4 linked regions of the Saccharomyces cerevisiae S288C genome follow. The gene in region 1 interacts genetically with each later gene. Each region holds a gene or a part of one and is shown in the gene's direction. Other genes may lie near its edges. The genes, in order: MBA1, EMI1, ASP3-3 and YME2.

Region 1 (3,232 bases):
TTCTCCAAACCATTTAGAAAAGATGCGTGCACAAGACAATTCTATTATTATCCCCTTATAATTAGTATCAATGGTATCGGAACCGTCTGAAAATTCCCGCCTCACAGATAATTTTTGGCAAAGTGCTTTGCATAACGTTGTTTTACCTGTTCCCGGAGGACCATGGACAAGGAGTAATTTATTATTTGTGATTAGCGTTGTAATGTCTTCTTGATTGGAGTCTCCAGTTTGTTTGAATCTTGCTATCTTGAGAGATATAGTTGCGTAGCTATATAACCTTTCTTTAATATTGTTACCAAAATACAACGATTCCCATTGGCCCTCGAAAGTTGTGCCTGGAAGATATGATATATTTACTAAGTTTAGTGTTTGCTTACTTAGTGGAATGTCAAAATTTCCCACCGAATTGATACAATTGTTTAAAGTTTCTCCCTCAAAACCATCATCCTCGTCTAGTTCTAAGTCAATCTTGTCGAACTCTGTGGACAGTATGCTGCCATTTTTCAGCTCATCTTGCTCTTCCAGACAGCAAAAGGGATATATAATGAACTCGTCAACAGATCCCATGTGATAAGTGTCCGACTCGTTGGTCTCCTCTGAATCTAAAATAGAATCTATGTGCTGACCCAAATTTATTTTCTCATGAAAGTTCAATTTAATAGAGACGTGTGATGTGGACTGTTGCTCTATAGAAATTTTTTTAACGAATAAGGATAGAAACAAATTATCTTGTCCTTCATTTACTGTGTTAACTTTGCCATTTATGCTTGAAAACTGGTGTAATAAAACTTTTGCTAGGCTTCTAATCAAATGTTGTTGCGCCTCCGTTGGTGGATCCTTAATTTCAATACTTCCTTGCCCCTCTCTCATTAATTCTTGGCCAGTTATAATCGAAGTCTTTAAACGGTCTTTTGGGAAACTTTCCAACTTCCTCTTGACCACTGCTTTTAACAGATTCAAAAATTCTCCCAGCTTTTTGTTGCTGTTTTGTTTCGAGTCAGAACCAGAATGTAGAGAAGAAATTTGCTCATCCTCTCTAAACATACATTTGATAACCCTCAGAGATGATCCTCGCACTTGTAGGTCAACTATGTAGCTCATATCCTTATTTTATGTCTTCAGTTTGAGATCAGAATATTTTTATGAAAATGTTGTCACTCTCTTTTAACCGCCTCGCATTTCGTAGATTTGCCGCCCACCTTATTGTCAACGGCAAATCTAAGGATATATATACATATATATATATTTTTGAGAAAGATTATATTTTCGCCAACGATGAAAAAGAGAAAAGTACAGTACTATGTATTATGTGTTTTTCAACTCAAGAGAGGGGCAAACATATAACTGGTGCTATATATGATTAAGGCTGCGCTCAAATATACTTCTTACTTAATTGACTGAACAATACGTTGATAAGATGAAGGAAGAGTCTCAGATATTGGTTTCACAAAAAATTCAGAGAATGGAGTCATTTCGGTTACGGGCAATCTTTCGGTGATTGGTACGGAGTATCGCGATCTTTACACGTTCCACTAGTCAATCCAATCCAATTTATTCATTTGTCCGTAAATATTCTGCCGGCCTTCTCCCCATATTACAAAATAAAAAAATAAAACCTGAGTAATGGAATAGTTGGAAAAGCAAGGCAAATTTCCATCAGAAAGCAAGCCTATCCATTCAGCTAAGCTTATGAGATGAGTGTATTAAGATCTACATGCCTTTTCTTCCCTCCAAGATCCTTGTTGATATCATTTAACAAGCGGCGATTATTTTCAACTTCGAGGTTAATTTTGAATAAAGAAAGTGAAACTACAAAGAAGAAAGATAAAAGTAAGCAGCAAGATTTTAATCCTCGGCACCTGGGTGTTGCTGCCGAAATATTTATCCCCTCGGCTTACAAGAACCTTCCAAATGTATTTGCTCATCCTCTCATTGTTGCAAATGCATTGATCAGAAGACTTTACACGTTTGGTTTGAACTCTGTTCAAGTCGCATTGTTTCGTTTTCAATCAGGCATTAAACCTTCTTTTTTACTCTGGAAAAACAAAGCCATAGAGACGTATATCAATGTAAACACGTCATTTGCTCATAAAAATTTGTCGGACATCAAAGGGTTAGTTTCATTATGGGTTCAGGAAGCTCTCGAGGCTAGGTCCCGTCAACTTCCAGGTAATGCAACACTGGACTGGCAGTTGATAAAGTTTAATGCAGTTCCTAAACTAGTCTCAGTGCAACCAATCATGATTCCCGGAATGCCGTTAGAGCATTTACAGTTGGTTTACAAATTTGATACGAAGCAAAGACTAATTAAAGTCAATCAGCAAACTAAGAAGACTGAGACGTTAGACCGTGACGTTGTAGACTATATTGCCTTTTTGTGTGATGCTACAACTAATGATATGATTTTAATGGGATCTTTGTTTGAAAGTAAACCAAATGATAAATTACCGAAAAGCTACGAGGACGATGCTAAAGTTGCCATACACAGAATGAAAGTTAACGGTGATATATATCGTTTACCTCCAAGCTAAGGCAATATGTATATAAATGCGAAAAGTTTTGGAACATCTGTAAATAGCCATTGCTTCATTTGAGTTTCTTATTCCACATACCACTTACATATTCAGTAAAAACTATTCATTTGTTTTTCATTCTGAAGTATATATATTAAATTTATTAAATAGTTTTTCATGAAAAAAGTTATTGAAGCATCTCCCTTTCAATAGTGCATTAACTCTCCCATTCTAACCCATCTTTCCGTTGAATCGTCATAGAACAATGTTTCTGACAGATTGGTTTTCCTATAACGATCTTTGCAGCACAATCTGTGAAATAATTTCCATAAGCCGGTAAGAATAGTCCTGTTATAGCTGATACTACCTTGTACATAATTCATATCACTGAGCTTTGCTTCATCTTTTAGAGGCTGAGACTTCTCAAAACCTTCTGCGCTATCCAAACGATAGGTGCTGATTTCTTTTAATGCCAATGAATTATTAGAACACTTCCTACATTTAAGAACAACCTCTTCCTCGGACCTTCTCTTTCTATTTTCTGTATCAAAAGAACTGTCTTTTTCAATTGCTGCTGTGTTGTGAGGAATAGATCGATAAAGTACTTTTTTTTGCCCTGTTCGAATAACAAAAAGAAATAATGTCAATTCATTTGCACTGTAACAGTAATCAGCGCTAAAACCCTTAGGATGATATCGATGATTTGAAAGTATAATTGT
Region 2 (3,197 bases), on another chromosome or scaffold:
TATGTGCTTCCAGCTTTACTTTTACTAATTTTTTCATAAGCACAAAATAGTAAGATCTTTTTTCTCTTGGCGGTGAAAAATTTTGATTCGATGGATCAATAACATACTGCAAAAAACGGTTTGAGGACATATGAATACTGCATTTACTAGTAATTTGCCTAGTATATAGTTTGACTACACAGATTATAAGCTATTGTATGAGTAGCTCCACAAAGTGCAAGAAAGCATACGAAGCGGTAGTCAAAATGGTTACGCATAGATTCAACTCCAAAGCAGTCCGCAATTACCATCAACCACAAGGTTTAAACAGGAGTCTGGCAACCCGCAATGCAGCTAGAGTTAGGGGTATGGTCCCTTCAAGAAGAGGGGGCGTGGGACTGTATAAGAGTTCAAGTAGCAAGTTGATGAATAAACTAGGAAGACAAAAGACATGGATAAATGAGTTTGAACATTTTAATTCTCTGCACGAAATTGCATATACCCCTAACATTGCGTTAAGTAGTGAAATCCAAAAATATTTAAAGGCATTGGAAACAAACTATCGGTCCATCTATGAGAAAAGTTCAGAATTACTGGATAAGAAGCTGGAAGAAATTGACAAGAAATGGATAGAGAAAAACGGGTGTATACCTGATGCATCTAAAGACGATGTGGAGAAAAATCTAAGAAAGCAATATTTAGCAGATGTACAGGACGTAAAAAACGAACATATACCTGTGATGAATTGTGAACCTGGTGGGTCTCAGTTCAAGTATCTCTGTAAAACTATTGAGTTATTATCATCCAACAAGACAATTTGTTTTGCCATCGATGTAGAGGCATTTGAATTTGATACAGACATTGTTACAGAGATTGGCATCGCCATATATGATCCAAGAGAAAACATTTATTCCTTGATGCCGATTATAAGAAGTTATCATTTAATTGTTGCTGAAGCGTTACCGTTAAGAAACAAGAAATTCGTATGCGACTTTAAAGACTGCTTTTTACTTGGAGAAAGTCTTGTATTACCATTGGAACAATGTGTAGAGTTCATTCAGTCGTTGATTAATTTCTATATGAAATGTGAGACGGACCAAGATACAACCTGGGAAAGAGCGTTTGTGGGTCATGCTATAGCGGGGGATATTAAGTGGCTGAAGAAAATTGGGGTCCATGTACCTGAATTGGATAATGAACTTACCAAACCGGAGGACTCAACGGAGAGCAAAGGTGTTAGAAAACATGTTAAGATGCTTGACACAGAGAAAATTTATAGCATGTGTTATGGCAAGAAGGGTAGCAGTTTAGGTAAACTACTAAGGCTTTTTCACTTGCCACATGCCTTCTTACATAACGCAGGCAATGATGCATATTACACGTTGCTCCTGATGCTGAAGTTAGGAGATTATAACTTTAGAAAGCAAATTGGGGCAGATGATTTAGAAACAATGGGATATAGGATAAGAGAATGGTTTAAGCGTGAGGCGGACGAACCCAAAATTTTGCCAATGTCGTACGTGCTAAGTGTGATGAATGCCAATAATAGCAAACCGAAAGTTGATGATAAGGGAAGAAAGAAGCCGAGGGATCTTGTACCTCAGACGGAATTTAGCGGGTCTCATTGGTTTCAAAATGCACGCGCAGCCTTCAAAAGTACTCTTGTGTGAATCTAGCTAGAAGTTTTGTAGGTATATGTGATTTAAGATATAGATAATAAAAGATATATATATGTAAATATTATGAAGGGGATATTAGCGTAATTTAAACTATTGAAATACCGGCTTCAATATTTCAGCTAACTTGCCATTTTTCTTCAAAGTTTCCAAATCGCTGTTACCACCAATGTGCTTGCCATTGATGTATACGTTAGGTACAGTTTTTTGGCCCGAGATTTCTTCTAAAGCGTCTTGAATCTCTGAGCCATTGCTCATTTCATCTAATTCCAACACAAGGGCCTTGGATTTGGGAACGTTCAATTCTTGGAAGAGGGTAGACAAAGTAGCTTTACAGTAAGGGCAGTATGTCTTTGCTGCAACAAACACTTCCTTTTGGCCAATCAGATCCTTTACGTGAGCAACTGTTTCCTGGGATACCATTTTTGGAGTAGATAAAAATCTTTTAGCAATAATTCTTGTGGCAAACAACGTGATAATGATAATAACAATTAAATTCGAGTCGAAGGAAAAATTGGTCTCCATGAAACAATATATAACAGTAGTTGGAGTGTCCGTTAATCAAGAGGGCACCTTTTCTTGGCGTCCTGGGACTTTTTATATGAAAATTCATGAAGAAAGTGCGGCGGGCCCCTTTGCGAAGGGGGCCGAAATATCGGATCTTAGTAATAGTTCTGCTATTGGATGTGGTATTAGCATAAATCAAGAGGGAGGCGATGGTTCTATTAGGGTAAAAGAGAGCAGCTTGAGGAAGAAACAGGAAAGGATGAGTACAAAATATCCGACAACGATGAGTTGCCGAGAGGCATTTGATCAACTGACGAGTTGCTATTCGATTGGAGGGCAATTTAGAAGCTATTACAGATATGGAGATTTTACATCATGTGACAAGCAGGTGTCCAAATTCAAGTTTTGTATTATCCACGGCAATGACCCTGTGAAAGTGCAGGAATGGTATAAAGATCAGGTTTCCAACAATAAGGCATTGGAAAATACCAGTGGGGTTATATGGCAGGAGAGGGAGACCACTGCAAATAAGTGAGATTTTTAGCTTTTTTTTTTTAGCATGTGTACTATATAGTATATGGATTTCTTATTTACAAGCGCAATAAAAAGACGAACACTAATCCTTGTTGTTCCGCTTCACGTCCTTACTTGATTCTATTTCATTGTCTTGGTGAAGTTTCTGTGTTTCCTTCATCAATTCATACAGTTGAACTGTTTGCTCAGGGGATAGTTTCTCCAGGGTTTCCGAAGATAAAGTGGCATCTTTCCATTTACCGTTGGAAATCATGTGGAGATAATCTTGCCAGGAAGCTAAAAAGCCGACTATATGCAACGGGTTATCGATATCTTTGTGCAACTTGAACTCGTTTCGCACGTATTGGTCACCCATCTCCCTTTGGGGACCAGGTAGCAGCTTATGCTGCCTTAGTATCCTTCTGTAGAGAACCAAAGGTGGAAGTAAAAGCTGGCTGTTATGGGTTGCAAATCTAACCGAACGATATATGAGCTTGTTGTTCATGGTGAATGAAGACGGGA
Region 3 (3,460 bases), on another chromosome or scaffold:
ACTGTCCCACTGCTGTACAACAGAAAATGAGAGATCAGAGAAATAGTATTCCGGAAGCCAGTGGTGTTTACTTATTAGTTTTTTGACGCCACTGCGCGAGTTGCTGCCTAGCTGTTCCTTGGCCAACGCATATTGGAACTTCATTCGACTGATATGCTTACTCAGAGGTCCATTACTTCAAGAATTGTCTCACCTATCGGGCTTGGCGTTTGTACAAGAAGAAACTTTCATCACCTTTGTTTCGCCACCAAATGAAAAAAAAAACTTGCATGGCTTAGGTGGTTCTTTGTCAGAAATATCTTCTAAGGATCAAGAGTCTTACGTGATTCTAATCCCTTGGCAAGTCAGATCTCAAATATGCTCACTCGCAGATGAGTAGCAATGAATGCGACCAAGTGACTAGTGACTGGTGACGACATGAGCCAAGCTGGAACCAGCAGCTTTCACGTCGGCTTATAGCTCTCTATGGGGCAATCAACCACTCATAGTGACTGAAGATCTTTTTAATATAATTACATTGCTAAAAACGTCATACCGCCTTGTGAGCACGATAAACAGCATATGCATTGAGCCTTGTTATTCTTCGGAACTGGGGATAGTAAAATGCGACCCGCTTAGGATGATCAAGCTATCTTTGGGACGGAGTTTTGTCATGGGAGTGGTCATCCTACTGGTGATGCTTCAACATTTGATTTACTAAATTTTGAAATCGGCCGCAGAATAAAACTATTATGTCCAAACAATTGATGGTCGAACCAACGTTAAGGGTTTCAAGTATTGAATTGAACTTTTATGAGTTCTATAATTTCGTTGCGCAAATTCAACTAAACCACCAATATCCCCCCTACAACGCTACACTTTATACCGATAGAGGAATAACGCATAGAGCCTTCGTAGAATTCTTCAACTCGTACGTGATGGGGATTCTAAACCTATCGTCATGTCGCTGTACAAGGCTGCTGCCTGCTTTCAAATTCCCAATTTTACCATGTCCGTTTCGCTGAGCCGAATCGTCACACAAGGTAATTAGTTCTGGGTATCGCTTCAGTATAGCACTGGTTTTTTCCTTGTAAAACCACAGTCTAACAATTAAATGAAGCTTTTCGAAGAAATTAGACCATGTTAGACTGAAAGCAAAGACTCCGGCCCGTTCTGAGGTAAGTTCAATGAAATTGGACAGTTTCTTTTCAAGGTTAGGTTTTGTGTTCGAAAAAAATAGATTACCGCACCTCCTTTCCAAACCCCATGAGTTTCCATTAAGGAAGAGCAACGTCAATAATACCACCTTTTGCAGATGTGATTCAACTCAAGATGCTGTAATCTTTCCCTTCTGACCCTAGATCACCTCATGATATCCTTTTGAGGCAATTAAAGCTGCAGTGTAAACTGTTGAATATCTTTTTGAAACCAAAAAAAAGGACGTTCCACACTTGGCTGCTTTCTTGATAAGCGAGATCTTTACTTGGAGATCTCGCTTAGTCCTCCGAAGGGTAAACCCCGTCTCTTATCTTTAAAAAAATGTATCAGACCCTTCAGCACGTGACAGACAGCAAACTACCAGTCGACGAGGATGCTTTTCCGAAAGTCATGACACAAGGGAAGGACTGTAAGATCGATATCGGCGCAGTCTTATCGGATGTTCCAAGTCCTTGTCTCTTTCATTATCTGCTTGCTATCGCAAAAAAAAAAAAATCAATTTGTTTAATATCAACACATAATGTACAAGAACAAATCATGACATACAAAAGCCATATAAGATGAGTCTTCAAGCAGCACCAAGAGGCCTGAGGCAGAGCAAATGTTGGCTCGCTATTCTTTTGTAAGCAATCTGGTACTCACCAACCTCCAACTATGAGATCTTTAAATACCCTTTTACTTTCTCTCTTTGTCGCAATGTCCAGTGGTGCTCCACTACTAAAAATTCGTGAAGAGAAGAATTCTTCTTTGCCATCAATCAAAATTTTTGGTACCGGCGGTACTATCGCTTCCAAGGGTTCGACAAGTGCAACAACGGCGGGTTATAGCGTGGGATTAACCGTAAATGATTTAATAGAAGCCGTCCCATCTTTAGCTGAGAAGGCAAATCTGGACTATCTTCAAGTGTCTAACGTTGGTTCAAATTCTTTAAACTATACGCATCTGATCCCATTGTATCACGGTATCTCCGAGGCACTAGCCTCTGATGACTACGCTGGTGCGGTTGTCACTCATGGGACCGACACTATGGAGGAGACAGCTTTCTTCTTAGATTTGACCATAAATTCAGAGAAGCCAGTATGTATCGCAGGCGCTATGCGTCCAGCCACTGCCACGTCTGCTGATGGCCCAATGAATTTATATCAAGCAGTGTCTATTGCTGCTTCTGAGAAATCACTGGGTCGTGGCACGATGATCACTCTAAACGATCGTATTGCCTCTGGGTTTTGGACAACGAAAATGAATGCCAACTCTTTAGATACATTCAGAGCGGATGAACAGGGATATTTAGGTTACTTTTCAAATGATGACGTGGAGTTTTACTACCCACCAGTCAAGCCAAATGGATGGCAATTTTTTGACATTTCCAACCTCACAGACCCTTCGGAAATTCCAGAAGTCATTATTCTGTACTCCTATCAAGGCTTGAATCCTGAGCTAATAGTAAAGGCCGTCAAGGACCTGGGCGCAAAAGGTATCGTGTTGGCGGGTTCTGGAGCTGGTTCCTGGACTGCTACGGGTAGTATTGTAAACGAACAACTTTATGAAGAGTATGGTATACCAATTGTTCACAGCAGAAGAACAGCAGATGGTACAGTTCCTCCAGATGATGCCCCAGAGTACGCCATTGGATCTGGCTACCTAAACCCTCAAAAATCGCGTATTTTGCTACAATTATGTTTGTACTCCGGCTACGGCATGGATCAGATTAGGTCTGTTTTTTCTGGCGTCTACGGTGGTTAAAGCCTGATCAGTGACTTTTCATCACACTGTGTTTTTATATAGTTCTTAGTAGTAAATATACTCTATAATTTCTACATCCTTTTCATGATGTGCCAGTTAAGCTATTTTTAGCAAACAAAAAGATGAATTTGAGTATTGAGCACATCATTCACTGTTCAGCTGATACAAAACATATGATTTCTAATATTCACATAGGAAAAATCGCTCCAAACATCGAAGTATCATCGCTACTTTGGTCTTTTATCTGCTTCTCTTCTCTTCGCTCTTTTCACTGCTCGTGCCGCTGCAACGCTCCAACTCAGTTCTATCTCAGCTCCTTCCCCTTATCCCTTGAGCAGTGTCAAGGCGAGGCTGCGTGATGTATTCGTGCGCGAAAAAAAAAACAACTGCAGCACCTGAGTTTCGCGTATGGTCACCCACTACACTACTCGGTCAGGCTCTTACCAGCTTAACTACAGTTGATCGGACGGGAAACGGTGCTTTCTGGTAGATATGGCCGCAACCGAAATAGTTAGGTGTG
Region 4 (4,831 bases), on another chromosome or scaffold:
ACCGATTTGCACGCTTGGCATGGTGACTGGCCATTGCCAACTAAGTTACCATTAGTTGGTGGTCACGAAGGTGCCGGTGTCGTTGTCGGCATGGGTGAAAACGTTAAGGGCTGGAAGATCGGTGACTACGCCGGTATCAAATGGTTGAACGGTTCTTGTATGGCCTGTGAATACTGTGAATTGGGTAACGAATCCAACTGTCCTCACGCTGACTTGTCTGGTTACACCCACGACGGTTCTTTCCAAGAATACGCTACCGCTGACGCTGTTCAAGCCGCTCACATTCCTCAAGGTACTGACTTGGCTGAAGTCGCGCCAATCTTGTGTGCTGGTATCACCGTATACAAGGCTTTGAAGTCTGCCAACTTGAGAGCAGGCCACTGGGCGGCCATTTCTGGTGCTGCTGGTGGTCTAGGTTCTTTGGCTGTTCAATATGCTAAGGCGATGGGTTACAGAGTCTTAGGTATTGATGGTGGTCCAGGAAAGGAAGAATTGTTTACCTCGCTCGGTGGTGAAGTATTCATCGACTTCACCAAAGAGAAGGACATTGTTAGCGCAGTCGTTAAGGCTACCAACGGCGGTGCCCACGGTATCATCAATGTTTCCGTTTCCGAAGCCGCTATCGAAGCTTCTACCAGATACTGTAGGGCGAACGGTACTGTTGTCTTGGTTGGTTTGCCAGCCGGTGCAAAGTGCTCCTCTGATGTCTTCAACCACGTTGTCAAGTCTATCTCCATTGTCGGCTCTTACGTGGGGAACAGAGCTGATACCAGAGAAGCCTTAGATTTCTTTGCCAGAGGTCTAGTCAAGTCTCCAATAAAGGTAGTTGGCTTATCCAGTTTACCAGAAATTTACGAAAAGATGGAGAAGGGCCAAATTGCTGGTAGATACGTTGTTGACACTTCTAAATAAGCGGATCTCTTATGTCTTTACGATTTATAGTTTTCATTATCAAGTATGCCTATATTAGTATATAGCATCTTTAGATGACAGTGTTCGAAGTTTCACGAATAAAAGATAATATTCTACTTTTTGCTCCCACCGCGTTTGCTAGCACGAGTGAACACCATCCCTCGCCTGTGAGTTGTACCCATTCCTCTAAACTGTAGACATGGTAGCTTCAGCAGTGTTCGTTATGTACGGCATCCTCCAACAAACAGTCGGTTATAGTTTGTCCTGCTCCTCTGAATCGTCTCCCTCGATATTTCTCATTTTCCTTCGCATGCCAGCATTGAAATGATCGAAGTTCAATGATGAAACGGTAATTCTTCTGTCATTTACTCATCTCATCTCATCAAGTTATATAATTCTATACGGATGTAATTTTTCACTTTTCGTCTTGACGTCCACCCTATAATTTCAATTATTGAACCCTCACAAATGATGCACTGCAATGTACACACCCTCATATAGTTTCTCAGGGCTTGATCAGGGTTCCGTAGATGGGAATTTGAGAAGTATAAGGGAGATAACGGTAATGTTATATTGAGAAAATGAAAGATGAACTCAGTATTGACAGGATCTAAAACCAAAATATAGCGGGCCTATACAGGAAGTAGTATTTGTAAAAGTAAACCATGTTGCTAGTACGAACGACTTCCCTGAATGTGTCAAGGATGCCAGTGCCATGCCTCGCCAGAGGAATAGGCATCCTCAAGGGCAAATATAGACTAGCGAACCTGATGAATGCCCAACCCTCAGTGAGACATGTGTCGAGCGAGATCCAGCAAAAGGATCAGCAGGCAGGAGAGTCAAACACCGCCACCGATACTGGTGTTATTCACAAATCAGATGAAGAAACTCTGATATATTTCGATAATGTTTACGCTAGAACCACCTCGGTTTGGAATCCAACACTGTGGTACAATCTCCTGCTAAGAAACCAGTCACGGGATGCAGTGAGGGAGAAAATAAGGAATTTAGCCAGTCCACCCAATAACCCCATTTATGGACTGGAGTTGAAGTCTACCATTCCAGTGAAAAGGGATGGTGGTGTATTTGCCACATTTGTCGTTCCACCCAAGTATACAAAAGCTCAGGTAAATTCTCTAATCCAACAGAATACAGCCAGAGAATCCTCTAAAAACTTACTCTCGTACTTCACTCGAGCTTCTGCCTTCCCAGTAAAGGGTTCGCCTTGGATTGAGGATTTAAGAAGACTACCAAGTACCACTATAGTCATCAAGTTCCAAGGGCCCGCCTTAACAGAAGAAGAAATATACTCTTTATTCAGAAGATATGGGACAATTATTGATATTTTCCCTCCCACTGCTGCTAACAACAATGTGGCAAAGGTAAGATACCGTTCATTCCGTGGTGCCATTTCTGCCAAGAATTGTGTTTCCGGTATCGAAATTCATAATACCGTCTTACACATACAATACGAAAATATCAGAAGAGGCCATCTAGTTAGTAATTTTTTCACCAACCATACAAGGATTGCTATTCCAGTTTTATTTGCGCTACTTTCAATCTTTGCTGTTTTAGTGTTTGATCCTATAAGAGAATTTTCGATTGAACAGAAGATCACTCACAAATATTCTTTATCGTGGGACAATAAGTTTTGGAAACAACTGAAAACGCTAACCTCATCTACCATGACTTCTATCAAGTACTACTGGGGCGGCCCTGATGATAATCACCAAAGAAAGCATTTATGGGAGGAAAGAATAGAGAAAGTGAATGACCTGAAAATGTGGCTTGAAGAAAATAATAATACTTTTGTGGTTATAAGGGGGCCTAGAGGTTCAGGGAAACATGATTTGGTCATGCAACACACTTTGCAAAATAGAGCAAATGTTTTGTATTTGGATTGTGATAAATTGATTAAGTCCAGAACAGATCCTATGTTTTTAAAAAATGCCGCTAGTCAATTGGGTTATTTCCCAATATTCCCATGGATTGACTCTGTCACAGGTGTCCTTGATTTAACAGTGCAAGGATTAACAGGGCAAAAAACTGGGTTGTCTGAGACGAAGGAATCTCGGTTTAGAAACATGTTAACTACCTCATTGATGTCCATTAGACGTATTGCTCTCAAGAATTACAAGGCTTTTGTTTCCACCGGTGATGGGACAGTTAATGTTAAGGAAGAAGATTACCTACAGCAACATCCGGAAGCTAAACCCGTTATCGTCATAGATAGGTTTGAGGGCAAGTCGGAAATAAATGGATTTGTGTATAAGGAACTATCCGATTGGGCAGCTATGCTAGTTCAAATGAATATTGCTCATGTGATTTTCTTAACGGAAACCGTTGCATCCAACCAAAGATTGAGCGAATCACTACCCAATCAAGTCTTCAAAAACCTAATCCTATCAGATGCCTCAAAAGAGAATTCGAGGAACTATGTATTATCCCAATTGGAGGATTACTTATATTACAATAAAAAATCCAAGGGTGAAAACGTAAAAGAACCTGAATCAGAAAAGGAAACTGCTGAAAATAATGATTCTGATAGTGAGGCCGATACGAGTGTCAAAAAAGCTGAGGTTATTTTAAATGAAAAGGAATTACAGGAAATTGACGCTTCTTTAGAGCCATTGGGTGGTAGGATGTTAGACTTACAGGCATTTGTAAGAAGGGTAAAGTCAGGAGAAGAGCCCTCGGAAGCAGTAGACAAAATGATTGAACAGGCTTCTGAGCAAATAACTCAAATGTTTTTAAGTGACAAGATTGACAGCAATAAAAGTGCACAAGCCTGGGAATTAATCGAATTATTGAGTGCGAACCCAGTCATTCCATTCCATGAAATCGTTAACAAGCCATTATTCAAAGCCGCACCAGAAACGGGAATCATGGAATTGGAGAATAATGGTTTAATAACTGTATCTAGAGATAGGGGTGTTTTACAGGAAATCAGGCCTGCCAAACCGCTATACAGGGCAGCATTCACATACTTGATCAACGATCCTGAACTCGCAAAAGTGCTAAAAACCCGTTACTTATTAAAGGTTGTGGGTTTTGAAACTGGTAGAATCAAGAAATGGGAAGAAGAATTAAAACCTTTGGGGAAAGTTCCTGATCAGAAACTTTTCAAGACCAGATTGGACTATTTATCCGGTAAAATCAATGCCAGTAATGCAGTCATTACCAAATGTGAAGAAGAAATTAAAAACCTATCTAAGTGATGAAACAAAACTTACTATTCTGCTTTTCTGTACATATGTGTAAACCCTATATTGCTATACTCATCTATATTCTTTTGAAAATGTATAAAAGTGACGATTGGAGATGGTGCAATTTTCTACGCAGCATGAAAAATATCTAAGGAAGGTAAGGTACATACCAAGTAAGTCTTATAATATGTTGTTGTACCTCACTTTACCATTCTTAAAGTCTTTAAAAGAAATTACCTTACCCAATTTGCACAGCAAAGGTCACTGACCTATACGTGCCCTTCATCAGATTACATCACGTGAAATTTCACTGGGAAAGAGCGCGAGGGCTTTCCGATGACTTTCTACATTAATAATCGCAAACAAAGCAATCAGCACAGCAAAGAGTACAATTTCGAAAATTGCGACAGAGCAACGTAAGTATATCGTTGTTGATAGATTCCACTCCAACCTGCAAATGCTGCTTCTTCCAAGATGTCCTGTAATTGGGCGAATTGTAAGATCAAAATTTAGATCTGGTCTAATCCGGAACCATTCGCCCGTTATATTTACTGTGTCTAAGTTATCAACCCAGCGGCCTCTGTTATTCAATTCAGCTGTGAATTTATGGAATCAAGCACAAAAGGATATTACGCACAAAAAATCCGTCGAGCAATTCTCGTCGGCTCCAAAAGTGAAGACTCAGGTAAAAAAGACCAGCAAGGCCCCAACCC

Evidence for each region.
Region 2: mutations in MBA1 (region 1) and EMI1 together harm fitness more than expected from each alone (negative genetic interaction), as found in Saccharomyces cerevisiae (2 studies listed by BioGRID).
Region 3: mutations in MBA1 (region 1) and ASP3-3 together harm fitness more than expected from each alone (negative genetic interaction), as found in Saccharomyces cerevisiae (2 studies listed by BioGRID).
Region 4: mutations in MBA1 (region 1) and YME2 together harm fitness more than expected from each alone (negative genetic interaction), as found in Saccharomyces cerevisiae (4 studies listed by BioGRID, with this or other methods).

The regions. Positions count from the first base shown.
Region 1 is NC_001134.8:598,422-601,653, reverse strand, and holds MBA1 (Mba1p), read left to right. Parts: upstream 1-1,694; coding exon 1,695-2,531; downstream 2,532-3,232. Other genes in the region: PCH2 (Pch2p), read right to left, coding at 1-1,101; YBR184W (uncharacterized protein), read right to left, coding at 2,720-3,232. UniProt on the Saccharomyces cerevisiae protein: Mitochondrial inner membrane-associated mitoribosome receptor that spatially aligns the mitoribosome exit tunnel with the membrane insertion machinery and allows cotranslational protein membrane insertion.
Region 2 is NC_001136.10:1,470,000-1,473,196, reverse strand, and holds EMI1 (Emi1p), read left to right. Parts: upstream 1-2,133; coding exon 2,134-2,697; downstream 2,698-3,197. Other genes in the region: YDR514C (uncharacterized protein), read left to right, coding at 198-1,649; dithiol glutaredoxin GRX2, read right to left, coding at 1,749-2,180; SDH7 (Sdh7p), read right to left, coding at 2,779-3,180. UniProt on the Saccharomyces cerevisiae protein: Involved in sporulation. Required for the full activation of the early meiotic inducer IME1.
Region 3 is NC_001144.5:482,029-485,488, reverse strand, and holds ASP3-3 (asparaginase ASP3-3), read left to right. Parts: upstream 1-1,851; coding exon 1,852-2,940; downstream 2,941-3,460. Other genes in the region: YLR159W (uncharacterized protein), read right to left, coding at 1-144; YLR157C-C (uncharacterized protein), read left to right, coding at 3,299-3,430; YLR157W-E (uncharacterized protein), read right to left, coding at 3,452-3,460.
Region 4 is NC_001145.3:869,372-874,202, reverse strand, and holds YME2 (Yme2p), read left to right. Parts: upstream 1-1,577; coding exon 1,578-4,130; downstream 4,131-4,831. Other genes in the region: alcohol dehydrogenase ADH2, read left to right, coding at 1-912; ATP-binding cassette Fe/S cluster precursor transporter ATM1, read left to right, coding at 4,576-4,831. UniProt on the Saccharomyces cerevisiae protein: Plays a role in maintaining the mitochondrial genome and in controlling the mtDNA escape. Involved in the regulation of mtDNA nucleotide structure and number. May have a dispensable role in early maturation of pre-rRNA.